4 linked regions of the Elephas maximus indicus genome follow. The protein of the gene in region 1 purifies or fractionates together with the protein of each later gene. This does not show direct contact. Links are inferred from orthologs where the notes say so. Each region holds a gene or a part of one and is shown on either strand. Other genes may lie near its edges. The genes, in order: SRPK2, RBM27, SON and DIDO1.

The links.
Region 2: the proteins of SRPK2 (region 1) and RBM27 purify together in Homo sapiens (affinity purification with mass spectrometry; 3 studies listed by BioGRID and IntAct, with this or other methods). This does not show direct contact. The link is inferred for Elephas maximus indicus from reciprocal best matches to the Homo sapiens genes SRPK2 and RBM27.
Region 3: the proteins of SRPK2 (region 1) and SON purify together in Homo sapiens (affinity purification with mass spectrometry; 4 studies listed by BioGRID and IntAct, with this or other methods). This does not show direct contact. The link is inferred for Elephas maximus indicus from reciprocal best matches to the Homo sapiens genes SRPK2 and SON.
Region 4: the proteins of SRPK2 (region 1) and DIDO1 purify together in Homo sapiens (affinity purification with mass spectrometry; 3 studies listed by BioGRID and IntAct, with this or other methods). This does not show direct contact. The link is inferred for Elephas maximus indicus from reciprocal best matches to the Homo sapiens genes SRPK2 and DIDO1.

What each region holds. Positions count from the first base shown.
Region 1 is NC_064826.1:44,371,478-44,379,044, forward strand, and holds the start of SRPK2 (SRSF protein kinase 2), read left to right. Parts: upstream 1-4,500; 5' UTR 4,501-5,177; coding exon 5,178-5,273; intron 5,274-5,538; coding exon 5,539-5,653; intron 5,654-7,567. UniProt on the Homo sapiens protein: Serine/arginine-rich protein-specific kinase which specifically phosphorylates its substrates at serine residues located in regions rich in arginine/serine dipeptides, known as RS domains and is involved in the phosphorylation of SR splicing factors and the regulation of splicing.
Region 2 is NC_064820.1:160,225,199-160,232,791, reverse strand, and holds the start of RBM27 (RNA-binding protein 27), read right to left. Parts: upstream 3,056-7,593; 5' UTR 2,871-3,055; coding exon 2,812-2,870; intron 1-2,811. UniProt on the Homo sapiens protein: May be involved in the turnover of nuclear polyadenylated (pA+) RNA.
Region 3 is NC_064836.1:28,050,661-28,057,864, forward strand, and holds the start of SON (protein SON), read right to left. Parts: upstream 3,025-7,204; 5' UTR 2,964-3,024; coding exon 2,887-2,963; intron 1-2,886. Other genes in the region: GART (trifunctional purine biosynthetic protein adenosine-3), read left to right, coding at 4,977-5,121. UniProt on the Homo sapiens protein: RNA-binding protein that acts as a mRNA splicing cofactor by promoting efficient splicing of transcripts that possess weak splice sites.
Region 4 is NC_064843.1:5,039,483-5,047,361, reverse strand, and holds the start of DIDO1 (death-inducer obliterator 1), read right to left. Parts: upstream 3,018-7,879; 5' UTR 2,950-3,017; exon of another isoform or gene 2,870-2,949; intron 1-2,869. Other genes in the region: GID8 (glucose-induced degradation protein 8 homolog), read left to right, coding at 7,144-7,261. UniProt on the Homo sapiens protein: Putative transcription factor, weakly pro-apoptotic when overexpressed. Tumor suppressor. Required for early embryonic stem cell development.

The sequences.
Region 1 (7,567 bases):
GAGGAAAATACTTGTTCCTGTGGGAAATAGCCTTATGGAGCTCCAGAATCTATGTCTGGGATTTTCTGGCTCTCTCTTGTCTCTTACCTTTTTGAAAGTTCTCTGGAATCCTGTGCCATCTTACCTCTTTAACTGAAAGCAAGGATGTGATTTTTATCTTTTTTCCCCTTATTCCCAGCATGTATACCTATGAAATAATAAAACTTTACCTATATCTGTATGTATTGGGATTTACCCATATTCAGTGTAATCGTTCCTGTAGCTGATGTTTGTATAGCAGTATTTAAGTTTGTTTTGTAATTTTACGTATTTATATTCATCACTTCGTGCCCTCCAAGTTGCAAGCCCTAAAAGAACAGGATCCTTTTTGTTGAAGAGATTTTGTTGAATACAATAGTCTCATCTGCTGGCATACAGCAGTTGAGGGCTCAGACCCTAGGCATAGACTACCTGGGTTCAGATCCCTGCTCTGCCATACTACCTCTGTGACCCATGGTAAGTTACTTAGCCTTTCTGTGCCTCAGTTTTCCTGTTTGTAAAATGAGGGTAATGATAATATTTCTCTTGCATGGTTATGGGAGGATTAAGAGAGTTATTATATGTAAAGCAAACAGAAGAGTGCTTGACACATAACTGGTAGAAAATAATAAAATGTTAGTTATTACTGTTATTGTTGCTATTTATTACTAGTATATTATTAATCTTCAGGCATTATTTCATGCTTAAAATGTTGTTTTCAAGTGACTAGAAGCTAGCGACTCAGTGTACAGCTAAAGATGATAAAGACGAAGAGTGTGTACTCTGGGATACTGATTCAAGGTCACTTGATAAAACAGACCTAAGACTTTTTGTATTCTTGATGTGTTTATGGTCCTGTACGCTGACTTCTGTTTATTAAAATGCAGAACTAGTTTGGATTTCATGTTCATGTAATTGGTAGGGAACCTTGTAGACCGTAAAACAAGAATAAAATAGACTTGGTCTATTTTGCTGAAGTGTCTGTGGTACTTCATAACATTTGCAAAGCAACAAAGCCTTGGAAGTAGACTTTACTATTGCTGCTGTGAGAAAGATTTTTTATAGAAATAAGCGACGAACTGAGGCTTGAGGTGAGAATTTTAGGATTTACAAATGAGAAAAGTGATAATTGGCAAAGTTCCTGAGGGGTACTGTGTGGGCGTACAGACACAAAATGAATTATGGTGAATCGACAAGCCTTATAAAAAGCTCCATGAAAAGTTTAATGTTTTTCTCCCACTATCACATAAAATTTTTAAAATTTGCTTTTAGATCTCATTTACCTATTGAATCTCTTATTTTAGTTTTGACTGTAGAGCTGATTATATTTTTACTAAATAAAACCAAGACTTTTTTGTGTGATATATAAGATGCTGTAGGAACAGGTCCCTGCCAGTATCTCTGGTTCATTTGCTATCAGTGTTCACCTCACTATTGTCACCTACCACATTGACTTAGATGGCCCACATGAATGATTCTCAGTAGCTTCGCTTGTGCAGTTTTTCTGCTTGGAATGGACTCCAGCTTACTTTCTTCACCTGGCAGGTCCTCCATAACCTACATAACCAAGCCCAAATGCCTCTGACCACTCCCTGCTCCGGACAGATAGGTCATTTCCTCCTTGCAGTCTCTGTAGCACAGCTAGCTATGGAGCTAGGCTTTGGAGTTAGAAGAATGCCTGGATTCTCATCTTGGTTCTTTTACTTGCTAGCTCTGAATTTTTTTTTTTTTTGAGATAAAATTCACATAACATAAACATCGACATTTTAAAGTGTACAATCCAGTGGTTTTGAGTATATTTACATGTTGTGGAACCATCCAAAACCACATTTTCTCCCGTGGAGTGGATGATGGGTTCATACCACCAAGCTATCAGTTAACAGCTGAACACTTAAATACTGTGCTACCAGGGATCCTTCGTACAGCTATCATGCCTATCTAATTCCATAGTATTTCCATTACCCTTAAAAGAAACCCTGTACCTATTAACAGATACTCCCCAGTCTCCCCTCTCCCATCCCTGGTCAACCCCTAATCTGCCTTCTGTCTCTGTCAATTTTGTGTTTGTATCGAAATGTATTCTGGATGTTTCATATAAATAGAATTGTACAATATGTGATCTTTTGTGTCTGGCATCTTTCATTTAGCATAATGCTTTCAGGGTTTATCCATTTGGTAGCATGTATCAGTATTCCATTCCTTTTCATGTATGGATATTCCACATTTTGTTTATCCATTCATTGGTTGATAGACACCCCCCCCTTTTTGGCAGTTATGAATAATGCTGTTGTGAATATTAATGTAAAGGTATTTATGTGAACATCTGTTTTCAGTCTCTTGGGTATTACACCTATGAGTGTAATTGCTGGGTCATAAGGTAATTCTATGAGTAAGTTTTTGAGGAGGTAGCATACTGTTTTCTGCCGTGGTCATACCATTTCTCATTCCCATCAGCAGTGCCTGAAGGTTCCAACGCTTTTTATTGTCTGTATTTTTTTATTATAGTCATCATCCTAGAGGGTGGTTGGCTGCTAACCAAAAGGTCTGCAGTTTGAATCTGCCATCTGCTCCTTAGAAACTCTATGGGGCAGTTGTACTCTGTCCTGTAAGGTTGCTATGAGTCAAAATTGACTGGACAGCAGCAAGTTTGGTTTTTGGTTTTAGTGGGAATGAAGTGGTATGTCATTGTGGTTTTGATTTGCATTTCTCTAACAACGAATGTTGTTGAACATCTTTTCATTTGTTGGCCATTTGTATATCCTGGAGAAATGCCTAGTCAAATCCTTTGCCTATTTTTAAACTGGATTGTTCTTTTTTTTTTTTTTATTGTTGAGTTGTAAGAGTTCTTTATATATGGATGCTATACCTTTATTAGATACCTGATTTGCAAATATTCTCTCCCATTCTGTTTTTACTTTCTTAATAATGTTCTTTGATGTACAAAATTTTTAATTTTGATGAAGTCCAATTTACTCCATATATTTTTTTAATCTTTTATTATTTATGCTTTGGTGCTATACCTAAGAAACCATTGCCTGATGCAAGATTATGAAGATTTACACCTATGTTTCCCTCTATAAGGATATTATAGTTTTAGCTTTTACTTAGTGATGGGGTTAATGTGTTTGACATGTGGCAAGGACATGAATTTTGGAGGCCATAAAGTAGAATGTCATGGATCGAATTGTGCCCTCCCAAAATATGTGTCAACTTGGCTAGGTCCTGATTTCCTGTATTGTGTGGTTGTCCTCCATTTTGTGATCTGATTATGCTCCATTTTATGTGTTGTAAATCCTGACTTCTGTATGTGAATGAGACAGGATTAGGTTTTGTTAATGAGATCCAATTATGCTTGTTATGTTAATGAAGCAGGATTAGGGTAGCATACATCACCCTTGCTTGAGTCACACCTTTCCTTTTACAAGAGATAAAAGGAGAGAGAATGGAGCAGAGAGGAGGGACCTGCCTACCACAAAGAAAGAAGAGCCCGTAGCGGAGTGCACCCTTTGGACCCGGGGTCCCTGTGCCAAGAACCTCCTAGACCCAGGAGAAGATTGATGCCAAGAAACATGGCGATCTCCAAGGAACACCAGGCCCACAGATGTTGAAAGGGGATGAGGACCTTTCCTCAGAGCAGACAGAGAGAAAGCGTTCCCCTAGAGCTGGTGCCCTGAATTGGGACTTCTATCCTCCTAAGCTGTGAGAGAATAAATTGCTGTTTGTTAAAGCCATCTACTTATGGTATTTCTGTTATAGAAGGACTAGATAACTAAGACTGTTCTTTAGGCCTTTGATCCATTTTTGGTTAATTTTTGTTTAGGTAGTTAAGTAAGTGTTCAGTTCATTCTTTTGCATGTGGATATCCAAGTTGTCCCAGCACCATTTGTTGAAGAGAGTATTCTTTCCCCATTGATTGGTCTTGGCACCCTTGTTGACATTAATCATAGATACAGGGGTTTATTTCTGAACTCTCAGTTCTAGTTCACTGATTTATATATCTGTCTTTATGCCAGTACCACACTGTCTTGATCACTCAAGCTTTTCGAAGTTGAGATGTGTGAGTCCTCTTTTTCTTTGTCAAGATTGTTTTGACTATTCAAGGCCCGTTACATTTCCTTATGAATTTTAGGGTTAGCTTGTTCATTTTTGCCAAAGTGGCTGTTGGAATTTTGATAGTGATTGCTTTGAATTTGTAAAGCAATTTGAGGAGTGCTGTCATCTTAACAATATTAAGTCTTCCAATTTATGAACACGGAGGCCTTTCCATTTATTTAGGCCTTTAATTTCTTTCAGCAATCTTTTGTAGTTTTCCATTTACAAGTTTTGTACTTCCTTGTTTAAATTTATTCCTAAGTATTTTATTTATTTGTTTTTGGTGTTACTGTAAATGGAATTGTTTAGCTCTCGAATCTTGAGCAAATTTCTTAAACTTTCTGGGCTTTAGTTTCCACATGTGTCAGATGGAAATTATCTTAAGTACCTACCTCTTCCCTTTGTTGTGAGAATTTAATTAGTTAATTCATATAAAGGATTAAATGAGCCTGACAGTTCAAGGTAAATGTTTAATATTAGGGATTTTAGCCTTATATATATTTGTAACCAGTCTCTTTGCCCCAACACCTGTTGGTGCTCAGGGAATATAGGAGGACGGTCAAGTTAAGGCTGTATCTCATCAATTTCAGTTCTTAAGGTTTGAAAATGTGTGTTGGGCATCAGGGAAACTTCCTCTTTTGCCTGCATATTTTGATAAGGCTTGTTTTCTTACACATGTAAGTAAGCCTTGCACAATAATTTTGCCACCTCCTAATATAGTGAAGTTTCCTTTTGAGATGTTCCCATGGGCCTTGGTTTATCAGAGGAGGAGGAAAACAGGCATTACCTTGGTGAACTAACAGTCCTTCATATATGAAAATTGTAAATGAAATTAAGTTGGCATAAGGTATGACCTGTGAGTCACAACATTAGAGACTCAAGCAGTTCCAGTTGGATATTAATATGTAGTATTTAAAGAATTATCTTTAAGTTAGGATTATGAAAATACTTCCATTCTCTCAGCATTACTCTCTGGTATAATTTCTAAAAGAGATATAGTAGAAAATTTTACAAATGATACTTGTTTTTTTAAATGTAGAACAGAGAAAACTTTGAAACTTGGCCTCATGCTGAACAGAGCATTGGGTCTCATCCTGAGTATAACAACTCACAGTCATCCAAGAACTTGTGTTACTTCTTCTGTCTTCCCCACCAGGCTCAGTGTAAGTAAGTGTCTTTGTTCTGTTTAGGGGCAGAATTAACTATTAATGATACTTCGCTGTGGTGAGAAATTTAGACTGTTTTTAGGGATCAGTTTCAATACATTTCATTGCTAATGAAGGGCCAAGATGGTGAGGCTAATAACATTAGGAATTTATTTAAACATTCGTATTTTCACACTGTAATACTTTTTTTGCATTTAGTTTCTGAAATAACAGATAACCCATATTGTGCAATGAATGTAAAGTTTTAATTTATTCTACACAGCACTTAGGCTGGGTGATCTGGGATGTTGGACTGCTGGTGTGGATGTGGCCTGAACAGCTTTCTCTTCCCCTCTCTGCCTTCTTGCTCACTGGCTTGCAGTCACACTTCTCTGAAGGTGGGTATTGCTAAGAATAGAGACCACAATTTCGGGGGAATTTGCTTGCTTTTCTTCGTAGAATTTGAAAGTCAACAGCAAACCTCTCATAGTAAACTAGTTTATTTCTTGGTTTACAAATTACATCCAGAATAACAATGAAAGACTTTTGACAGGAAAAAAAATATTTCCTCTAGTAAAATGGAGTTTCTGGTAAGTGGCAGCAGTGTCTCCAGTCTGAAACCACCTCCTTCACTTCCTTTAACCCCCTTCCCCCAGCCCCTGCCTCGTTGCAGAGTTTGGTGTGAACATACTGTAGTCCACTGGCACGTTATCATATTCAGGAACACAAGTAATCCTGTTTTGGAATTATTGTTGTTAGGTGTCAGCAAGTCATGGCAACTCATAGCGACCATAAGTGTTAACAGAATGAAACACCACCTGGTCCTGAACCATCTTCACAGTTGTTAAGCTTGACCTCATTGTTGCAACCACTGTGTCAGTCTATCTCGTTGAGGGTCTTCCTGTTTTTTGCTGGCTCTCTACTTCACCAAGCATGATTTTCTTCACCAGGGACTGGTCCCTCCTGATAATATGTCCAAAGTACTTGAGACGAAGCCTTGCCATCCTCGTGTCTAAGGAGTATTCTGGCTGTATTTCTTCCAAGACAGATTTGTTTGTTACTTCTGGCAGTCCATGGTATATTCAGTATTCTTTGCCAATATCATAATTCAAAGGCATCAGTTCTTCTTTGGTCTTCTTTATTCATTGTCCAGCTTTCGCATGCATATGAGGCAACTGAAAACACCATGGCTTGTGTCAGGTGCACCTTAGTCCTTAATGTGACATCTTTGCTTCTTAACACTTTGAAGAGGTCTTTTACAGCAGATTTTCCTAATGCGGTGTGAATGCATCTTTTGATTTTTTGACTGCTGCTTCCATAGGCATTGATTTGTGGATCCAAGTAAAATGAAATCTTTGACAACTGCAATATTTTCTCCGTTTATCATGTTGCTTATTGATTCATTTGTCAGAATTTTTTGTTTTCTTTGTGTTGATGTGTAATCCATACTGAAGGCTGCAGTCTTTGATCTTCATTGATAAGTACTTCAAGTCTGCCTCACTTTTAGCAAGCAAGGTTGTGTCATCTGCATATCGCAGTTTGTTAATGAGTCTTCTTCCAATCCCGGAGCTGCATTCTTCTTCATACAGTCTGGCTTCTCTGATTATTTGCTCAGCCTACAGATTGAATAAGTGTGGTGAAAGGATATAACCCTGATGCACACCTTTCCTTATTTTAAACCACGCAGTGTACCTTTGTTGTGTTCAAACAACTGCCTCTTGATCTGTGTACAGGTTCCACATGAGCGCAATCAAGTGTTCTGGAATTCCCATTCTTTGTAATGTTATCCATAAAGGCAACTGTTAAGGAATGGGGAGTAGAATTGGGATTATAACTTGAAAAATGAAATCAAATTTATGTAAGCTTATACATTTTATTTAACAAAACTTGTTATTAAATATGTACGGATTTTTAGAATGAATGAAAAAATATATCGTGTTGATTGTTTTTGGCATACCTTTTCATACTAAGTTACGTGATAACATGATTGGACATGGAGGGAATTTTTGCAAACTATTTAAGAGTTTTATTATTTTCCCTCTCTGTCTCTAATAATTGAACAGTTCTCATTCTTGTGACACTTAGCATATTATTGTCCTTGTTGATTTTTGTTTTTATTTACTAACCCTTCTAATACTTACTATAGCCTCATTTTTTTAGTATTTTTGCTTGGGATTCTAGCATTTCCTTTGTGTTTTCCATCAACTTTGTGAAATGTATCTTTTGCAGATTTTCAGTTTCACTTTGCTCAAGATTTGTATTTTGTTGGACTGAATGACTGTTAATGAGGGACTAACAGAGTTTGGTGGATG
Region 2 (7,593 bases), on another chromosome or scaffold:
TCTCTGGTTGTCTGTCTGTTCTCCGGTCCGTTCGAGATTTCTGAATTCTATTCTAACCTTTATTTTTTTTTTTTATTCTAACCTTACGGTACCACACAGTATATGCAGTCAGATGTTGCCCAAAAGGACGTTATGCAGGGCAGGACTGTATATTGTTAAGCGCTAAGTAATTGAAGAATTTAGATCTCTTTTTTAAAAGCCCTAATTAAGTACCAAAAGGTAAAACACAAAAAGAAGCATGACGTGTGCTGTAAGTTGAACATATAACTCAAAACAAATGGAAAAACTAAATTTCAAGTAATCCTTTTGAATGCTAATTTTACCCATGAAAATTACAGAATATCTACGAACATTTATCAGTTTGAATAGCCAAAAAAAGACAAGTGAAAACATGCTTAGAAAGTTTAAGTTCCTACCCAAAGTAAATTTTAAAATTAAAAAAAATGCATTGCCCTGAGTAAGACATTTTAGGGAGCTTTTAAAAAAAAAAGAAAGAGTAACTACAGTGTTAAAAGTTGTTACTTTCTACCTAAGACATAAAATATACCTTTAATACATTTAAAAGTATCTCTGCCAACAAAGAAAATCAGAGCTTGTACGGAAGAGTGTTTAAAAAAAGGGGGGGGGGGGGGCGAACAGCAGGTGTACAAAATAGAGAGATTTCTCTTTTTAATCTTAAATAACGTTAAGAATAAAAATTTTAAAAATATATATTTTTCTTTATTCAACCTTTTCCATATGCGGTCAATTTCCTTAAATCTATTTCCTACCTTCGCCACAATCCATCTCTATCTTCGTGCCCCAAAACTTTTTATTGGTAAGTATGATGTATTACTTGAGATGCCCATATCCTTCTACAAAATTCTCAAGTGTGTCCAGAAGTCATTTTCACTTTAACTAGATCACTTTTGACCTAAAGCTCAGAAGCCCTTAGTGTGCCTTTATTCATACCTGTGCTCTACTCACACACTCCTTATCCTCTGAACATAAATGCCACATCCCCTAAAGTTGCCTCCCTTCACATTCTGCCTTCAAAGGGCTGACACACTGGTCTGCAGATAACTCTTTTCCTAGGTGTTACTGTCCACCCCAAGAAACCAAAGTAGCAAGAAAAAAAAAAAAAACCCGAAAAACAAAAACTAGTTAGTTAACAAGGTTCCTCAGGAGGACCAGGAAATAAACAGGGAAGCAGCTTCACAATGTCTCCCAATAGCCCCAACTTTACCATGCCTACACATCTTCCAAACTGCCCCTTATATCCACCTCTGAAAAACACTCCATTTTTCCACTAAAGGGATCTGATCTAATGAACCAGAGCCTGCCCATCTCTTCCTCTACCCCCTCCTCCTTTTTTTTCACCCAATCTCCAAGAAGGATATTCAGGCAGAAATAAGGAGGGGACAGGAAATGAACCTCTTTCCCTTTCCAAGTGTGCCTCTTTCCCAAGAGGATTAAAGGCATTTTTCTCTCTCCAGCCCTCCAACCTTCTTTCTCCTTCCACCTAGGAGAACTGCTCCAGACTAGTTATATCCCAGTCCCCCAAATAAATACTCCACAACCCTACCCCTTGGAATGGTTATAAAGCAAACAAGGGTTAGAGTTGATAGCTCTGCTAACCCTTCTAAGTCTCCCAATAATATTTCTACCACTATCTAATACTACTGAAAATATTTCAGAAGAACAAGTCCCTCTCATCTTTTTTAGCCCCTCAATAATAATCCTACACCCCAATACTTCCAGTTCTGCTTCCAATTGTTCAACAATTTTTACAAAGCCCTTACTCTTCCTGCTATCCGTTTTAGGCCTCCAATACCCGAATTGAAAATTTCCTAGATGCTACAGGCACATCCCTTTCAGTCCCTCATCCAACAATAATATTGGATACCAGGATAGCCCTTTCGAACTCCAATTAAACTTATACCGAAACCAAACCTACTGCCGTTGAGTCAATTCTGACTCATAACGACCCTATAGGACAGAGTAGAACTGCCCCACAAGGTTTCCAAGGAGCGCCTGGTGGATTTGAACTGCCAACCTTTCGGTTAGCAGCCGTAACACTTAACCACTACACCACCAGGGTTTCCAACTAAACTTATAAAAACCTCAAAATTCTTTCCCAGCTCCCAATGGTATTTACATATTAATCTGTTCTACCAGCACTCCTCAATAATACTTCACAGTTCCTTAATATCCTTGCTATGATATTTATCAGCGTCCCAATAATTTCCAGAACCCTTCGATGCCCACATCTCTCAGCTTCCTCATATTTTTTAAATCCTTCAATATTCCTGAACCCTTAGAGCACACCAATAATCGCTATAAAGCCTCGGTGTCCCTGTTATCCCTTTCTGCTCTACTGTTTTTTAAAAGCCTTCGATACCCTCCTTCCAGTCCTTTTAGCCCCCGATAAACACCGTTTGTAAAGCCCTCGACATCCTGCTATTCCCTTCAAGATCCCAATATTCACAAGTAAAAAATCCCTCGATAGCTCTACTATGTATCCCTCTCCGTCCTCAAATAGCAGTATCTTAAATTCCCTCACTATTCCTGCTATCCTTTCTAGCGCCCCAATATTTATATTTAAAAAGCCCTCGCTGTCCCTACCCTCCCGCCGTTCCCCATCAACACCGCCTCTACGCCCCTGCTGCTCTACCCCTCCCCCCCACAATGGTGATAGTACTACAGAGAAGACGTCGCCCGGACCTCCGCACCGCGGCCCCTTTGCATCCCCCACCGCCTCCCCTCCCCCCACGCCCCCGCGGGCCCCCAACGCCCACGTTCGCCGGCGCCGGCCCAGCCTGCCTCACTCACATCGGCTCCAGTAACTTGGCCAGCCAGGACTTGAGGGCATCCACATCCTCTATGAGCATGGTGCAGGGAAGGCGGGCTCGGCCGCCTCTCTTCTTCGGGCCTGCCGTGGGTCTCCCCTCGCTGCCTCCTCACGACCACCTCACAGCTCCCCTTGCCCCAGCCCACCCGGCATCTTAGGAGACTTCAACCTACTCCCCCGGCCCGGGCCTAACAGGAACTAACCCAAGAGCCCTCACTCAACCGAACGCGATGGCTCAGATAGGCGGGAGACAGCGCCGACTGGCGAGCACATTAACCAATAAAGTAGAGAGGGTTGTGCGCTCAGCGCCAATGAAAAGGCTCGCCCGCCCCGCCGGCCGGCCGTACCCAGTTAAGGAGGAGGGATGTAGCAAGGTAGGTGGAGAGCGCAAGTGAACTCCTGGTGCAAGATGGTATCTTGGAGAAGGTGCTGTGCCTCTTAAAGGGGCCGCGACGCCTCTTTTTGACCACGCCGGCGCCCGCCACTGAATACCGGTGTCTGGTGCTAGGGCTGCTTGGGGGAACCCGGCGAGCCCCTCAGCCTGGTTTCTTCCTCTCGTATTTCCTGGAAACACACACACTCGTGTCCCGAAATGACTCAGCTGTAGTAAATCTGCAACACAAGGTGCAAGACGTTCACGTTCGACACATTGCACTGAATGTAAAAATTTACTTTTTTCTTCCTAACACACCCATTTTGATCGCCACTCACGCTTGCGATTTTTGCGGCTATGCTTACACTATGCAGAATGCTCCTGACAACCATGCCTTGGACTCCAATAATCTTCGTTTTTAAAACGTGGCGCACGAATGTAAAAGGCTGAGGCCATCTCAATTTTACCACTTATTTTTAATGTATACTCTATTTAGGAAGTGAAACAAATTCTAATAGTTTTTTTTTTTTTTAATGGCATATCTAAAAGGAGTTTTTAGTTTTGATTTTTGCAGGGAGAATTTTCGTCAGGAAAAAAGATTTTTTAAATAATTTTTTTTTTTTTTAATTTTGAAATTACTGAAATAGACAACTTAGTTTGTACTAGCTCAGAAATGCCTTTTGGAGTTTGGAAATCACTGGCTTGGCAGTGTTGTTTATTCAACAGCAATTAGTGAACCTTTGCTATGTATCAGCCTTGTATAAGGGACTGGGGTCCACTGGTGAGCAAAACAGGGTCCCTTCTAGAAAGCTGAATGATTTTGGGGTTATACATGATAATAATAACATGTTGAAAAATACCTCATGAGCACATACCTCCTATAAAACAGATGGACCAGCCCAGGATAAGCAAGCATACTAAATATCCATAGAGCAAGGTTAGGCAAACTTTGCTGTAAAGGTCCAGATAGTAAATATTCTTGGCTTTGTAGGCCAAAGACCACTGTGGCAACAATTCGTCTCTGCTGTCATGGCATGAAACCAGCCATAGACAATATGTAAATGGATGAACGTGGCTGTGTTGCAAGAAAACTTATATGAAAATATCAATTTCATGTAATTTTCACATGTCAGAAAACGTTCTTTTGATTTTCTTTTCAACTATTTAAAAATGTAAAAGCCATTGCTACCTCATGGGTGTACAAAGACAGGTGGCCAGCAGGATTTGGCCTGTTGCCATAGTTTGCCCACCCCTTTATCACATAGTATATAAAAGGAGACCTGCACTTAGAGATCATCTAATGAACCTCCATCACTAATAACCCCACCAACGTTGTAAATGAGGAAGAAAGCCCAGAGAGACTAAGTGATGTACAGAGAATCACACAAGTCTGCAGGTTACAGAACAGAGGTAGTACCAGATCTGACTGTAAGCCCAGAGCTTTCACATCTCACTATTGCCTCTTCTTCCCTCTCTCCTCTCAGTTTTCCTTTACACTTACCCACATTATTCCTTCCGTTCTTTCCAGTAAGGAAATGAAGCGCTACCAAAAAATGATGGAAGTTACTCCGGGAACATCTAGCTCAACTGGTGTAACATAGTTTTATAAAGAAAATGTTCTGCATTCTACTCTGGTGAGTAGCATCTGGGGTCTTAAAAGCCTGTGAGTGGCCATCTAAGATACTCCACTGGTCTCACCCCAGCTGGAGCAAAGGAGAATGAAGAAAGCCAAAGACAGAAGGGAAAGGTTAGTCCAAAGGACTAATGGACTACAACTACCACAGCTTCCATCAGACTGAGTCCAGCAGAACTAGATGGTGCTGGGCTACCACCAACAACTGCTCCGACAGGAATCACAGTAGAGGGTCCCAGACAGAGCTAGAGAAAAATGTAGAACAAAATTCTAATTCACACAAAAAAGACCAGACTTACTGGTCTGACAAAGACTGGAGAAACCCTGACACTATGGCCCCGGACTCCCTTTTAACTCCGTCCTGAAGTCACTCCTGAAGTTCACCCTTCAGCCAAAGATTAGACAAGCCCATAAAATAAAATGAGACTAAATGGGCACAACAGCTCAGGGCAAGGACGAGAAGGTAGGAGGGGACAGGAAAGCTGGTAATGCGGAACCCAAGGTCAGGAAGGGAGAGCGTTGACATGTCGTGGAGTTGGTAACCAATGTCACAAAACAATATGTGTACTAATTGTTTAATGAGAAGCTAGTTTGCTCTGTAAACCTTCATCTAAAGTAAATTTTCTTTTAAAAAATGACAGAAGTTAAAAAAGAGAAAGTTAGAAGTGATTTGATTAGACCTGAGGCTGGACAAGAATTCGATAATAGGCTACAAATAAATGGAAATTGCATTTACACAGTAAATCACTCCTCTGCAAGAATATCAAAATACTTCCCAAATGTACTTATAAAGTAAATTTGGCAGGTCTTGTTGCCAAAGTGAAGGCACCGAACACCAGCTTACTAGTGACCAAAGGCACTAGTAAGTACTAGTGACCAAAGGCACTAGTAAGTACATTAGTAATCAAGTATATTACAGGGAATAGAATAGACATGCTTGTTGCTGTTGTTATTAGCTGCTGTCAAGTTGGTTCCAACTTGTACAACAGAACGAAACGCTGCCTGGTCCTGTGCCATTCTCACAATCATTGCAATGTTTGAGCCTATTGCTGCAGCCACTGTGTCAATCCATCTCATTGAGGGTCTTTCCTCTTTTTCAATGACCCTTTATCCTACCATGCATGATATCCTTCTCCAGGGATTGGTCCCTCCTGATGACATGTCCAAAATACTTGAAGCCACATCATCCTCAATTCTAAGGAGCATTCTGGCTATACTTCTTCCAAGACAGATTTGTTCCTTCTTCTGGCAGTCCATGGAATATTCGATATTCTTCGTCAACACCATAGTTCAAAGGCATCAATTCTTCTTTGTTCTTCCTTATTCGTTGTCCAGCTTTGACTGAAAGTACCATGGGTTTGCTCAGGCACACCTTTGTCCTCAGGGTGACATCTGTGCTTTCTAACACTTTAAAGAGATCTTTTGCAGCATATTTGCCCAGTGCAATACACGGTTTGATTTTTTGACTGCAGCTTCCATGGGTGTTGATTGTGGATCCAAATAAAACGAAGCCCTCAACAACTTCAATATTTTCTCCATTTATCATGATGTTGCTTATTCGTCCAATTGTGAGGATTTTTATTTTCTTTATGCTGAGGTGTAATCCACACTGAAGACGGTAGTCTTTGATCTTCAGCAATAGGAGCTTCAAGTCAACTTCCCTTTCAGCAAGCAAGGTTGTGTCATCTGCATATTGCAGGTTGTTAATGAGCCTTCCTCCAATCCTGATGCTCCATTCTTCTTTATGTAGTCCAGGTTCTCGAATTATTTGCTCAGCATACAGACTGAGTAAATATAGTGAAAGGACACAGCCCTGATGCACACCTTTCCTGATTTTAAACCACACAGTCTCCCCTTGTTCTTTTCCAACGACTGTCTTTTGGTCTATGTACAGGTTCTGTATGAGCACAATTAAGTGTTTTGTAATTCCCATTCTTCTCAATGTTATCTGTAATTTGTTATGATCCACACAGTTAAATGCCTTTGCATAGTCAATAAAACACAGGTTAACATCTTTCTGGTATTCTCTGCTTTCAGCCAAGATCCATCTAACATCAATGATAGCACTCATTCCACGTCCTCTTCTGATTCCAGCTTAAAATCTGGCAGTTCTCTGTCGGTGTACTGGTGCAACTGTTTTTGAATTATCTTCAGTGAAATCTTACTTTCATGATATTAATGATATTGTTTGATAATTTCTGCATTCTGTTGGATCAGCTTTCTTTGGAATGGGCACAAATATGGATTTCTTCCAGCCACTTAGCCAAGTAGCTGTCTTCCAGATTTCCTGGCATAGACAAGTGAGCTCTTTCAGCATTGCATCCATTTGCTGAAACATCTCAATTGGTATTGTCAATTCCCGAAGTCTTGTTTTTCGCAAGTGCCTTCAGTGCAGGTTAGACTTTTTCCTTCAGTACCAACAGTTTTTGATCATATGCTGCCTCTTGAAGTGGCTGACTGTCAGACGATTCTGTTTGGTACAGTGACGCTGTGTATTCCCTACTTCTTCCTTCATCATTCGATATTTTGCCCATAGAATCCTTTAAAATTGCAACTCGAGGCTTACATTTTTTCCTCAGTTCTTTCAGCTTGAGAAATGCTGAGCATGTTCTTTCCTTTTGGCTTTCTAACTCCTGGTCTTTGCACATTCCCTTATAATACTTTACTTTGTCTTGTCAAGCCACCGTTTGAAATCTTCCGTTCAGCTCTTTACTTCATCATTTCATTCGTTGTAGCTACTCTATGTTCAAGAGCAAG
Region 3 (7,204 bases), on another chromosome or scaffold:
TTTTTTTAAATAAAATACTCCCAAAATTTTTAATTGAGGCTTTTGGGTTACACAGGTTATTTCCCTCAAGTACAAAAACTATTAAGAGCCAAATCACAAATTCAAAGAAAAATATATGACCTAGCGTTAGAGTAGAAACTATGGGTACAATCAAGCTATGCCTGTGCATAGATCACGATTACCTCAATAATATCCCAGAACACAAAAATTAGCCACAGACACATTAGGTAAAAAAGAATATAACATAACTTGTAGCCTCAGATCAGGTTTAGACTGCTAAAAGAATATCACAAAGCGTAAGAAGAAAAATACATGCAGGAAGTTTTAACCCAGTTATAAAAAAATCCCAGTACCAAAAAATTTTATGATATTTAAAAAAAACTCACAAAACAAGCAATAATTTATTATACCAAGAAAAAATGAGTGGGTAGTCTAACATATTTTCAATCTACAGGGCCAGAGAATATTGACAGATATAAGAACATATCATTTACAGTTGTTTTTTTTTACTACTATCGTATAAATTAACAAAAATGTTTTCGAAAAACCATATAATTTCAACAGCTCAATTCTACCTAACTGAAAACAACAATTATGCTCAATACCTGATAAAGGTCTCAATGGTCAAAAAATGAAAATACTCACTAGATAAATCTTAATAGGAAATATTCAGTTTTCTAATACAACGAATCATGTAAAAACTAACACTTAACTACTAATTAGGTGTCACTCTTCTACATTTTTAACTAATTTAATCCTAACAAACCTCTATAATCATGCCATTACTCTCATTTGGGGAGGAAAATGAGGCACAGAGAGAACAAGAAACTTGGCTGGATGTCACACAGCTACTTAGAAATGAAGCTGGTATTCATAAGCAGAGCATCCTCTTAACCACCAACTACATACAATACTTATGTTACTTATCTTAAATATCTAAAGGTCAGCCTCATTACCCACACTGATGTACCTAAGAGCAGACGGAGAAAAAACCTTAATGAAATGGCAAATAATCCAAAATATTTTTAAATTGATAACACATTACATGTTGCTTATGGTGAAGCTACGTATCTTGTATTTCGACAGTAATAAATTGCTTTCTCTAATACTCTTTTTAGACTTTGAGTGCTTCTTTTTACTTTTCCCAAACACTTATTATGTAACTCTCCCTTCTAAAGGACCCCAGATTGAAAAATCAGAAAAGTACACTAAAAAAAGTTCAATCTATGAGGAAATTATCATGATTGAACCTTATCTCTCAATTTTTATGACTGCTACCAGGATGCAAACTGAAATTACTAAAAAACAATGAAAATATCAAACAACCTAGCTATCCAACGATACATTCCCACAATGGAATTCTACACAGCCATGAACAATGTTGCCAAAGATTACCGAGATTGTGGTATGACAAACTTGTTTATATATTAAGTGAAAACCAAAACAAAGAAAAACAATCCCATTGCACATAACATATATATAATTACAGATCTGTATCTGCACAGGAAAATAAAGGGGCATAACACCAATAATTACACGGGTAGTTTTCATTTTCTTTCTTTTAAATATTCTACAATAATATTTATTTTCTAATAAAAAACTGATTTTTGTTACTTACAAAAGCAAAACTTACACACTAAGCAAACACACGACTTTCTGCATGCCACTATTAAAAAGCTTTCAGGGAAATTACATTCCCTTTGCTCAAGTTTTCTTTCATTATCCTAAAAACATTAGCATATAATTTTTTTAAAAAACCATATAATGAGCAGATACATTTCCCATCTAAAAAACAATACATCTGCAAAAATAACACTTTGGACAATTTTAGCAATATTACTCCATTGCCCCAATAATCTCATGTTAATTCGGACACTTAATTTACAATCACGCTTTTATTTTCAAGTTTACTCACTGCTCATACGCTCTACTTTTAACACACAACTAGCAAAAACATTCGAACTCAAATATCTGACTTAAGCTTTCTTTCCTATCTCTACACTTGAAAATAGTATTTTACACAAAGCAAAAATATTAAGACAACCACTGAACAACAACACGACCCACAGTACTTTCCTCTCTGAGTAAACAACTGTTTCTTTGGAAGTCACTTCCCTTTCTATTTGCGTGGAATCAAGCCTAAACTCCAGAACATGTATCAGCGACAGTAAAAGTAGCGGGTTGGTCAAATATGTCAATTGGGGCACGAGTGGCAAGAAAAAGCAAACTACACACATAAGCCCACTTTCCACTTGTTAAAATTAAAAAATGACTCATACCCCAAAGAGCCCTACCATCCTCACCTCAAATATTTTTACAAAATACCTAACTAATTTCAGCTACTTTCATTTCAGTCTCATCAGAATGTCGACGGACGGAAATCATAAGACGCTGGGGCCCGAATAATCCAATTAACGAATGCTCATTCCCAAACCGTCTGAAGATTACAAAAACAAAGCGGGCTGAAGATCACCCAAGAAATGGCCGTTGGAGACCCTCTCCGGTCAGCGGCACCGGCCGGCCAGCTCGGCCGAGAGGGGGAGGGGAGCGGCGGAGGCGGAGCCGAGGGGCCTAGGCCCGGCCGCCGCGGACAAGCCGGCCTGCGAGGCGTTCAGGCCTAGGGGGTGGCCGGCCGGGAGAGAAGCGCCAGCATCGTAACTCGGCCCGAATGAGGGAGCCCGGGTCACCGCGGAAAGGGCCAAGTTCCTCGCAGGGAAGCAGAGCGCGGAGGGGGGAGGGGAAGCCGGAAAATGGATCCCAGGCCCAGGCGGGGCTGTAGCGGGGCCCGAGCCGAGGAACGACGGCTTCTCTGAAGAAAAGCCCCAGGAAAAGCTACAATGGGCCCTAACGGACCCTTGGGACGAGAACAGTCTGGGAATCGTTTACCTGGAAAGTTCCTGTTGAATTTCCCGGAATTTGCTGACCACGAAAGACCTAAAAATCTGCTCGATGTTGGTCGCCATGGCGTCCGCTCCGTTCTCTCAGCTCCTCCTCGCTAGTCCTCCAGGCTCCCAGCATGCCTCGGGAGGCGGCGCTGCGGCCAGTTCCGTCTCTCCGCTTCTTGATTGGCTCCTGTAAGAGCGATGGCACAGGCACGCTTTGCCGTCGAGCCAATCAGTGAGCACGGTTCCACTTTCCTCCGCTGTTCCTGAGCGGCTGGGGTAGAGCTGCTGACGTTTGCGCCGCGCACGGCTCAGTCCGCCATGTTAGTGTCTGACGCAGGCGCCATTACAGGAGAAACCTCTCCCGAGGCGACTGTGTCCGCTTATCAGTCCCCAACATTGTTTTGGGGGGGGGCGGGGCCGGAGAAAGGGGTTAATAGGTTTATTTAGCGACTAAATGCCCGAGATTAAATGCTATGAAAAAGGGGGAAATGTTTTGACATGGGGCCTACAGGCGTCCCCGTGTGGCGCCAAGTTCTGTTCGGTCAGGGAGACGCATCCAGGAAAGCACGGGCCAGCCCGCGCCCCTATTGTGAGAATGCGGAGAACACGCTTTCACCCCGCCTGTCCCATTGCAGCCTATCATCGACCTCAATCTTAGCCAGAGGCCGGAGGTCCTGAGCGACCGGTTCTCAAAGCCGGGCGCGTCACGAGACTTTGCGCTTTGGCTGCTCAGTGCGGACCCTCGCTAGCAGCGCCCCCTCCTCAGAGCTGGGAGGCTCTCGGGCTGCAGCGGCGACGTTACGTGGCGCCGGTGTTAGTGTCACATTCGGAACGTGCGCCGCTTGACAGCTTTGCTCAAGAGCAGGCTCTGGCCGCGCCCGGGGGCGGGAACCACACTGGATTACCTCGCCGCGGGGACCGAGCGCAGAGCAGGCCAATGAGGCGGCGGCGCCCGCCCGGGGCGGGGAGGAGCGCGGGCGGCGGGAGGGTGCGCGTCGGATCCGGCCCGGCTGACTTCCGCCGCGGCGGTCCGGCTCGGAGCGCGCCGACGTGAGTTCGAGTCGGAGCGCGGCCGCCAGCTCGGTGCGTGAGCAAGCCGCGGCCTTGAGAGAAAGCACGTTTGTGCTTGGTGTGGCTGCTCGGTGTCGGGTGTGGCCGTCGGGATTTTCGTCTTTGTTTCCCAATGTGGGGGGTGGAGGTTGGCCACGTGCTCTTCCCTTGCTCTTACCTGGGGCTTACGTTGGCTTTATCACCTTTCCTGCTTTCTGTGGTGTCAGGGCTTTAACTTTCTTGTCTATTTATGTTTTCTTAGGCCCAAGACTTAAGCTGTTGTGCCCGTTTTATGGTGTTTTGTTTCTATGCACCCATTGTCTGCAGCAGATTAATTAGGTCCGCTTTTGTAATTGGTTTCTGTTTTTATTATTCAGCAAAGGGTTGGAAATAGTTTTACCCGGCTTTCTTGTTCTGGTTATAAGTTGCTCGTTTTAAATATAAGGCGACTGAGGCCCGAGGAGGGTAGTTAAGTTACTCAGGGGCTCCCAGCTAATGAAAGGCAGAGTCTCAACCAAAACCCAGGCCTCCGAACCACCCTGATGTAGATCGTTTCGGGCTAAGTGATGCTGTTTCGTAATTAACTGTTAAAAAGTAAAAATTGTTGCTGTCGAGTCGATTCCAACTCACAGCGACCCTATAGGACAGAGTGGAACTGTCCCATAGGGTTTGCAAGGAGTGGCTGGTGGATTTGAACTGCCGACCTTTCTGTTAGCAGCCGAGCTCTTGACCGCTCCACCAGGGCTCCTGATCTATTCCTTCACTGCACCTGTTATTCCAGGAAAATGCAGTCCTTTATCTGGATTTAAGGATAAGTTTATCTCAGATATTTCAGTCCATGCATTTTCCTTGAAAATACCTCTTATGCCCTCCTAGTGCAGTCGTTTCTCTGTTTATGAATCTCAATTTTTTATTCAAAAATGAATCCCAGGGTTCATTTGCAAATCGTGGTTTCTAAAAGATGTGCACTCTAAAATATCAACCGTGGTTTTCTTTATGCAGCGTGTGTTTTTCTTCAGAGTTCCTGCTTCACAGACAACCATGGCAGCCCGAGTGCTTGTCCTTGGCAATGGAGGAAGGGAACATACTCTGGCCTGGAAACTTGCCCAGTCTCATCATGTCAAACAAGTGTTGGTCGCCCCAGGAAATGCAGGCACTGCCTGCTCCGAAAAGATTTCAAATGCTGGTAATCGTGTTTTAAAGTGGGAAATAGTAGTTATGGTTTGTGATACGCTGTCAGCCACCTCTGGCCATAGATTGCTATTCAGATGTTTTTGTTTTGTCAGCCTTAAAAGTTACGTGGTAATTTGAATATCTGCATGTGTAGTAAGCCTAAGGTATTCTATTCTTCATGATGTGACATTTTCTTCTCTTAGGTTACCTTAAACCCATATTTTATAAAACACGTTCATCGAAAAAGTAACAAGTACTTAATAGTAGATTAGAAGCATTTCGATGTCTATTTTTGGAAATGAAAAGTTGAGCAGTTCTCTGAAAATGTAAATCCTGGTAATTCTAATTCCATAATAGATCTCAACCCTTATCCCTTCCACTGATAAAAATGATCAGTTCACACACTACGTTAAACTCTTTGGCAGCTTCCCATGGCAACTAGAATAAAGCTCAAACCCTTTATTGTGTCTTACAAAGCCTTTTGTGATCTGGCTTCCTTCTGCCTTTCCAGCCTTTTCTTTTATGTCCCTTTTTTCTCTTTTCACTGTGCTTCATCCATGCTCTCCTGCCAGTTTCCCAAACAGAGCTCTCTTGGACTCAGCATTTGTTCCCGTCATTCGGGCCTCAAATGTTACCTCAGAGAGACCTTTCCTGAAGTTTCTAACTACAGCAAGTTTCCACCCCGTCTCATTTGTTTTCTGTCATGAGCCACTGTTTATTTTTACTCTTTCCTTCTGTATTGTCTGTCTTTTCTCCACCCACCCCCAACCCACCCACTAGAATGTAAGCTGCGTAAGGACAAGGAACTTTTCTATCTGATTTTGCATCCTGTCCACACTGCCTAAGTACTCTATGTGGCACGTACTAAGAAAAAAACAACGAAGAAAATGCATGCTTCCCTGGGGTTTTAGCTCTTGGGGTGAGGTGCAGTGCTGAATCTGTTTACTGGAGAACTGGTACACTTTATTAAAACATGATACCCATCAGAGCCTCCTAAGATTGTCATAAGGCTGCTAGCACTGGCAGCTGCCGAGGTTAGATGTGTACTCTCGCTTTTACTGAGCACATGCTGATGTAGTTGGCTCTACTCAGCACAATTATACATGGAGCTCTTAACCCAGGGTACACGGTACTCCATCCCTACCTGAGTCAAGCAGTTCCTGTGGGTTGAGAACTCATGACTTTTTCTGGATATGTACCTTAGGCATCGCAGATACTACCTCTTGCCCCATCCCATATAGGTATGTGCGGAGTCACTGAGGCTTCAGCCAACTGAAGAATGGTAGTTTAGTTAGAGTGAGGCAGAGAGCGTCTGTGGGACCCAGGCCTGGTACGTGGCCAGTGCTACTGCTAGTTACTTAGAGCTGCATCAGAAAAGAAAATTTACCTGGTCTCTAGGTTGAAGAGGCGAACTGGGTCTTAACTAAAATCGTCCATCAGTTCTTAGCCTAAATGTCTCTGCCTCAGAGAGAACCATCATTATAACTGAAAACAGCCTCCCAATTCATCTCATATCACATTTGTGCAATCTGTTTATACCCAGTAGTTTCTCGTTTAGATGTTAGTTACCTGGCTTTGCCACAGTGGAACGTAAACATCGTAAGTGTAGATGCCCTGTTTATGTTAATATCTTAGCCCCAGTGTTTACGATACTATCTAGCACGTGTTTGTTAGCTGCCCAGAGAGTCAGCCCCTGACTCATGGCAGTCCGTGCACAACAGAACAAAATGGTGCCTGGTCCTGCACCATCCCCATGATTGGTCACAGATCAAACCACTGTGATGCATAGTTTTCGTTGGCTGATTTTCAGAAGTAGATCGCCAGACCCTTCTTCCTAGTTCGTCTGAGTCTGGAAGACTAAACACGTAGCACATGTCCTGTGCCATCGAGTTGATTACAAGTCATAACAACTCTATAGAATGGAGTAGAACTGCCACATAGGGTTTCCTAGGCTGTAACCTTTACAGGGGAGCCCTGGTGGCGCAGTGGAGCTTGGCAGCTAACCAGAAGGTTGGCAGTTCTGAATCTACCAGCTGCTCCTTGGAAATCCTATGGGGCAGTTCTGCTCTGTCCTGTAGGGTCACTGTGAGTCAGAA
Region 4 (7,879 bases), on another chromosome or scaffold:
AGAACTGAACAGATTTCAAAGGGCAGCTTGAGAAGACAGTCAAGTATTATGATGACATGCACAAAAAGCTGGGAATAGAAAACCAAAAGAGAAGAACACGCTTGGCATTTCTCAAGCTGAAAGAACTGAAGAAAAAGTTCAAGCCTCGAGTTACAATAGTGAAGGATTCTATGAGATAAATATTAAACGACACAAGAAACATCAAAAGAAAACGGAAGGAATACAGAGTCATTATACCAAAAAGAACTGGTCAATGTTCAACCATTTCGAGAAGTAGCATATGAGCAGAAATTGATGGTACTGAAGAAGTCCAAGCTACACTGAAGGCACCTGCGAAAAACAAGGCTCCAGGAGCTGACAGAGTATCAATTGAGATGTTTCAACAAACAGGTGCAGTGCTGGAAGTGCTCGCTAGTCTATGCCAAGAAATTTGGATAACAGCTACCTGGCCAACCAACTGGAAGAGATCCATATTTGCAACCACTCCAAAGAAAGGTGATCCAACAGAATGCAGCAATAATTGAACAATATAATTAATATCACATACAAGTAAAGTTTTGCTGAAAATAATTTAAAAAACGCTTGCAGCAATACATCGACAGGGAACTGCCAGAAACTCAAGCCAGATTCAAAAGTGGATGTGGAATGAGGGATATCATTGCTGATGTTAGACAGATCTTGGCTAAAAGCAGAGAATACCAGAAATATGTCTACCTGTGTTTTACTGACTACGCAAAGGCATTCAACTGTGCGGATCATCACAAATTATGGATAACGCTGTGAAGAATGGGAGTTCCAGACCACTTAACTGTACTCATAAGAACCTGTACAGAGATCAAGAGGCAGCTGTTTGAACAGAGCAAGGGGAATACCGCGCGATTTAAAGTCAGGAAAGGTGTGCATCAGGGTTGTATCCTTTTACCATACTTATTCAATCTGTATGCTGAGCAAATAATCCAAGAAACTGGACTACAGAAGAAGAACGGGGCATCAGGACTGGAGGAAGACTCTCTGATAACCTGCGTTATGCAGATGACACAACCTTGCTTGCTGAAAGTGAAGAGGACTGGAAGCACTTACTGATGATGAAGATCAAAGACCACAGCCTCCAGTATGGATTACACCTCAACATAAAGAAAACAAAAGTCCTCACAACTGGACCAACAAGCAACATCATGATAAATGGAGTAAATATTGACGTTCTCAAAGATTTCATTTTACTTGGATCCAAAATCAACATCCATGGAAGCAGCAGTCAAGAAATCAGAAGACTCACTACATTGGGCAAATCTCCTGCAAAGGATCTCTTTAAAGTGTTAAACAGCTGTCACCTTGAGGACTAAGGTGTGCCTTGCCCAATCCATGGTGTTTTCAATCACCCGAAACGTATGCGAAAGCTGGACAATGAATAAGGAGGACCAAAGAATTGATGCCTCTTAATTATGGTGTTGGCAAAGAATACTGAGTATACCATAGACTGCCAGAACAAACAAATCTGTGTTGGAAGTACAGTCAGAATGCTCCTTAGAAAGGAGGATGGCAACACTTGGTCTTACGTACTTTGGACATGTCATCAGGAGGGATCAGTCCCTGGAGAAAGACATCATGCTTGGTAGAGGATCAAAGAAAATAAGAAAGACCCTCAAGGAGATGGATTGACACAGTGACTGCAACAATGGGCTCAAACGCAGCAACAATTATGAGGATGGTGCAGGACCGGGCAGTGTTTCGTACACGGTGGGGTCGCTATGAGTCAGAAGTGACTCGATGGCACTTGACAACAAAATTTTTCCTCAATAGGGGAAAAGTTGGAAAACAATAAAAAGCAGCTGCTTTCTAGATGCGATGAAGGAGGTGAAATCAGTAGGACTTGACAACTACTTGGCTGGAGGGGGAGAGGAGGGACTATTAACTGTATTACCCACAGGGAAAGCACAGCTGACAGGTGAGCACTGCTAAAGCCTCTTTAGTCAGGAATAGTCTATCTCCCTACGACGCTGGGCCTTCAAGCTTTTTGCTTGTATAATCCTGAAAGAATTTTAAAACTCTATAACCCCCGGCACGTTTTTAAGTTGATCTCTAAAGTTATTTATTATAGGTATAAACAGCTGCAAAGGATGCAAAATGGCCATAACCATTCTTCATGGCCAAACTGCCAATTGGACGTGCTTTCTGTCTGAAAAAGTTTGATATCACTTTGGTGGTTATTCAGATCTCATAAAACTGAACAAGCAATCACACGAAACCATCTCACTCCTGACTTCTAAAGACTTGCCGTGAGATTCTCACCGGACCATGTAAAGGGCTGCCCCCTCAACATTTCTAACATTTTTTCCCGAAGCGCACTTAAATCTTTTAATTTGAATCTCCAGCAATGGGAAATCAAGACCCTGCCCTGGAGGAGTCGGCATTCTTCTTCAGAAAACAGACTGAAATAAGGAAATAAACCCGCGAACATGCGCTACGGCCTCGTCCGGCGGATCCAGCGGCAGCCGGGGAAAATGGCGCGCCGCCTTCTCAAGGTGGTCTTCCGCAAGCCCCCGACCCTTCCCTCGGCGCAGGCGGCCCAAGCGGCCGCTCGTGAGACGACGTGACGAGTCTGGACGGGAGGCTCCCTGCGGGCACGATGGTCCGGCCTATCTGGCCTCGAGGGAGCACGCGCTCAATGACACTCGTGGAATCAACAAGGAATTCACCCCAACAGCCTTCGAGAGCGCCCACTCCCGGCCCGACCTAATGGCTCCGCCCCTGGGCCGTGGGAAGGCAAGCGCCTGGGAAGCAGGCCGTCGGGAGGCGACTCCGTCTGCGGGGCGGCCTAGGAGCACCAGGCATCTTTTCCCCCGCCCCTGCCCCATTCCCCCGGCCTCACACAAACGACGGGAAAGGACGCTGGGGCCTTCGTTTCTGACTCAGTCTAGGCGTCGCCATCCCCGCGCGAAGTATCCGCACCTCGACGCTGCGGGGTCTGCCATCTTCCTTAGAAGCGATCGATGCGATTTGACTCTCGCGCCAACCCGTAGAGCGACGGCTCCGCGCGAGGGAGTTCTGCGCAAGGACGGAAGCTGGTGTTTGCACTTCCGGGTGACTGTCGCGCTCCGCCCCTTCGCAGGAAACCTCCATTGGTTGCCGCCCGGGATCTCGCGATAGTAGGCTGAGGGGGCGGCCGCCCGTGTGTCACCTCCTCCTCTCCGCCCCCGCCTGGCTGTGGCCACCGCCTCTCTCTCTTCCGGCGCCGCCGCCGCCGCCGCCCCTTCCCCAGCCCGGCCCCAGCCCCCTGGAGCGGCCACGGAGCCGCCGCTGCTGCCGAGACCGTGCAGCGCGGGAGGTGGGTCACACGGTAAGATGGCTGCGGCGGCCGGCCGAGCGTCACCGGGAGCGCGGGGCGGGCGGGCGGGCAGGCCGGGGCCGGGGCCGGTGGGCAAGCCAAGGTCGGGGCCGGGGCCGGTGGGCAAGCCAAGGTCGGGGCCGGGGCCGGTGGGGAGGCCGGGGCCGGTGGGCAAGCCAAGGTCGGGGCCGGGGCCGGTGGGGAGGCCGGGGCCGGTGGGCAAGCCAAGGTCGGGGCCGGGGCCGGTGGGGAGGCCGGGGCCGGTGGGCAAGCCAAGGTCGGGGCCGGGGCTGGTGGGCAGGTCGGGGCCGGGAGGGACGGTCCCAAAAAGAGTCCCGCGTGGAAGTCTTGCGGGGCGGAGGCCTGAGAACGGGGCGCGTTCTCCGCAGCTGGACGTTTACCCTCTCGACCTGTGATGCTGGAAGGTGGTGGACGTATTATTTCGTTTGCTTCGTTTTCGGTCTTTTTCTTCCCTCCCGAAGTAGACACCTAACCTTGGTTGTACCTCGGAGCTGTCACCCTGTTTCTCTTCCTAAAGACAACGTCTTTGAAGTGAAGGTGCTGACGTTCAGGAAGAACCGTCAACTAGAATAGCAATAGTTACTCAGACTTCTTATATCTGACTTCGCCAAGCGAACGATTTTTATAACGAATCTGCTTTTTAAAAGCAGAAACTGAGCTGGTAAGCACGGATGTCATGGCGTGGAAAGCAAGTGGTTCTGGCTCTCGGTGTCTAGGGAATGTATCTTGGCAGAAAGGATTTTTGATGCTGGCTTGTTTCTGTGGAATATGTAACTGTTGGAGGTTGAGGCTGGCAGTTCTTCCTGCAAAGAACAGGGTCAGCTCTGCACGGTGCTGCTTTTTAAGATCACCCTCACCTCCCCCAGGTAGTCCTCTGTGATTGCTGATTGCCAAATGGAAACTGAAAGGGGGCTTTTGTAAAGGGCTTTTCATATTGGTCCTTAAAACCCATTGCCATTGAGTTGCTTCTGACTCATAACGACCCTATAGGACAGGTAGAACGGCCTCATATGGTTTACAAAGAAAGGCTGGTGAATTCAAACTGCTGACTTTTTTGATTAGCATTCAGACTCTTAACCACTGGGCCAATAGGTCCTTACCCATACCCATTGGCGTTAAGTCGATTCCAACTCAAAGCAACCCTATAGGACAGAGTAGAACTGCTCTATAGGGTTTCCAAGGAGCACCTGGTGGAGTCAAACAACAGGTCCTTAAGTTACCTTTAATTGTTGTCTCTGAATATACACTTCATCTTAGTGATGCAGTTGACCTAGTGCTACAAGAGATAAGTCTTGTGTGTGTGTGACAACATGTGTTGGTTTTAGTGATTTTTGTTCATACTCTGCTGCTGGCACCTCCGTCTCTGCATGGCCTCTACGTTTTGGTATCCTCCAAGGACCTGAGGGCTTTGTCTGGTTCCCCCTGCCTCCCCATGTACGCTTTTTCCCTAGGTGATCTTTGCCAAACCTTCTTTAAATATCATTTGTTCGTGGATGTTTCCGTAATTAACATTTCCAGCACTGAGCTCAGGACCTGTGATCAGGTGCCTGCTTGACTTCTCCACCTGCTTGTCTCATAGTCTCCCCAAACTTGCCCCACTCCTCAAACCTGTTCCACTCCCTGTCTGTCCTTGTTATCCATGGCCTCACGTTTCAAGGTCTCAAACTTGACACCTCATCTTCCTGGATCCTTCCTTTCCATCACCCCACCTTCAGGCCATCGGCAAGTCGCATTGGCTCAGTGTCCAGAGAATCTGGATCTGGCCCGTCTTTCTGCCCTCTTCTACCATCTTAGTCCACATGGCCATCCTCTCAGCCTGCATGTCTCCTCCTGGTCTTCATGCTCAGCTCTTGCCATACTGCCTACCTTCCATCTTCTGCCAGAAAACCAGAGCCATCCTTCAATTCTCTTATTGAAACAGTTTATCGTGTGCTTCGCTGTGCATAAAGTAATAGCCATAGTTTGTAGGTAAGTTACAAAGCTTGTATGTAAGTTACAAAACCGAAAAATGAACCAGACACTTGTGTGCTCACCATACATCCTAGAAGTCACGCTCCAGCACTCCAGCTCCCGAAGCTGTCAGAGCTGCCAGCCCGCCCCCACCTGTAACCATCCCCCTGAGTTTTATATTTCATGCCCTTACTTAAAAAAATGGGTCTGCCACGTACGCATTTATTTCTAAAACACGTATTATTTAGTTTGCCTTGTTTTTTGGTTTTCACAAAACTATGATGCCACCCCTAGGTCTCTGCAACTTGCTTTTTCATTTGCTGTCGTTCCTAAGAGACATCTCTGTAACTGCGTGAGCTCCTTGTAGCTGCTCTGTTAAATTCTGTTGTGTGAACAGCTGCAGTTCCTTCTCAGCAATTCTGAAATCCAGACAGCTCTGAAAACCAAAAACTTTGTTTTTAACCCATTTGGGAGTAAAACCTTATCTGGGTAAGGGTATTCAATAGCTTTTATTCCATTAAAGTTGAATATTTGTGCATTTCACTGAAGAAATAATGTTTGATTATGGGGTGCTGTCTCAGACACCAATGAGGATGTTACGTAACGTGTGGTAAATTGTGCCATGTAATTGTTCTATAATATGAAGAATTCTGAATTCCAGATCATGTAGACCCGATGGCTTTAGACATGGGATTGTGGCTGTGTATCCTACAGTCCATTTGTCCATCCCGCTGTTGATTGGACATTGAGTGCCTTCCACATGTTAGCCATTGTCGATGGTGCTTCTGCAAGCAGGCTTGTGTGTCCCCTGGCACACTTTTGTAACTTTTTCTAGAGTATGTACATCTAGCAGGGGTAGAATTGTTGGGCTGTAAGGAGAACACCCACCCACTACCTGTCTGTCAGTTTGTTGTACTGTGGTAGCTTGTGTGTTGCTGTGATGCTGGAAGCTATGTCTCTGGTATTTCAGATACCAGCTATGTCTCTGGTATGTCTGCCACCCATGGCAGACAGATTTCAGGGGAGCTTCCAGGCTAAGACAGACTAGAAAGAAGGGCCTGATGATCTGCTTCTGAAAATTAGCTAGTGAAAACGCTATGAATCACAACAGAACATTGTCCAGTGTAGTGCTGGAAGATGAGCCTCCGAAATCGGAAGGCACTACACAATAGCTTCAACAATGGCCTCAAACATACAAATGATTATGATGATGGCACAAGACTGGGCAGTGTTTTGTTCTGTTGTACATAAGGTGGCCATGAGTTGGAGCCAACCCCATGGCAGCTAATAATGACAAGGAGTACCCACGTTCACCGTTACAAGAGCGTGCCACGTTGTTTCCGCAGGACCAGTCTATTCTAACAGCAGTATGAAAGTGTTCAAGAGAACTCCATGTCTTTGCCTACACTTGGTATTGTCAGACTTCTTAATTTTTGTCAGCCTAGTTAGTACAGATTGTAGCCTTTTTCGAACATACATCCTAGTGTATAATTTTGGAGCTTATAACTCTGCAGTGGCTGTCCTTTGCACTTAGAGCAGAATCTCAGCTCTTCCCTCCACCTATAGGGCTTTACTTGACCTGACCCCGACCGACCTCTCAACCTTTTAGTTCTAAGACATCTCGGTGCACCCTCAGATTTATCCTGCCTTATAAACACCCTGGCTTCTTCCTGGTCTCGGGATATACGTTTGGGAGGCCTCAGGCCTGGTTTCCAGATTTGAAGTCTCTCGACTTTCTCCTTTTCATTTCTGTGATGTGGCTGTGTGTTTATTTCAGAAATGGTCATGATTGTCAGAATTCTTCACCACTTAAGATATAATTTTTTTTCTTGTAGAAATTGACCAGAATGAGTTATGCAGAAAAACCTGATGAAATTACAAAAGATGAGTGGATGGAAAAACTCAATAACTTACATATTCAGCGAGCAGACATGAATCGGCTCATCATGAACTACCTCGTCACAGGTAATGGTTTGCAATAAGGACCCTAATTCTTGGACACAAATTTCCCTTTTTGTACACACAGATAGAGCTTTACTACTGAAGTCAAGAGTAAAGTTATGTTGTGTTGCAAAAGATGATATAAAGATGGTGAAAACTTAATAAATATACAAATTATCCTGTTTAAAGTAGCTTCTTCGGGAAATCAGCTATTCAGTCTCTGAGACCTAAGAAAAAAAAAGTTTCTTGACCTTTGTTGTTTTTAAAGCTACATAATCAAGATAATTAAGAATTTTCTGAAGTATGTTAAAATTCCAAATAGTTGATCTCTCTTGGCCAGAAGCATATAAAAGTGGTCTGTTGTCCTAAGGCTCAGACAGTTTTCACTGATATTTGGGAGGAAAAGGGGTAATTATACATATGTGGTAAGAAAATTCAGCTGTTTTCAAAAGGTATAAAATGAAAAGTTAGTCTCCCTCCCTTTGGTCCCCAGTTCTTTTCCCCCAAATTAATGTCCGTTTAAAAGCATTTTGGAAAGTGGTCAGGAAATGCAGGCCTTTAGCTGCATGTGAGAGAGGTGCGCACACTCTGGTTTGATGTTGTAAAGAATTGTGGACTTACTGGAGGTGGAACTCACTGAGT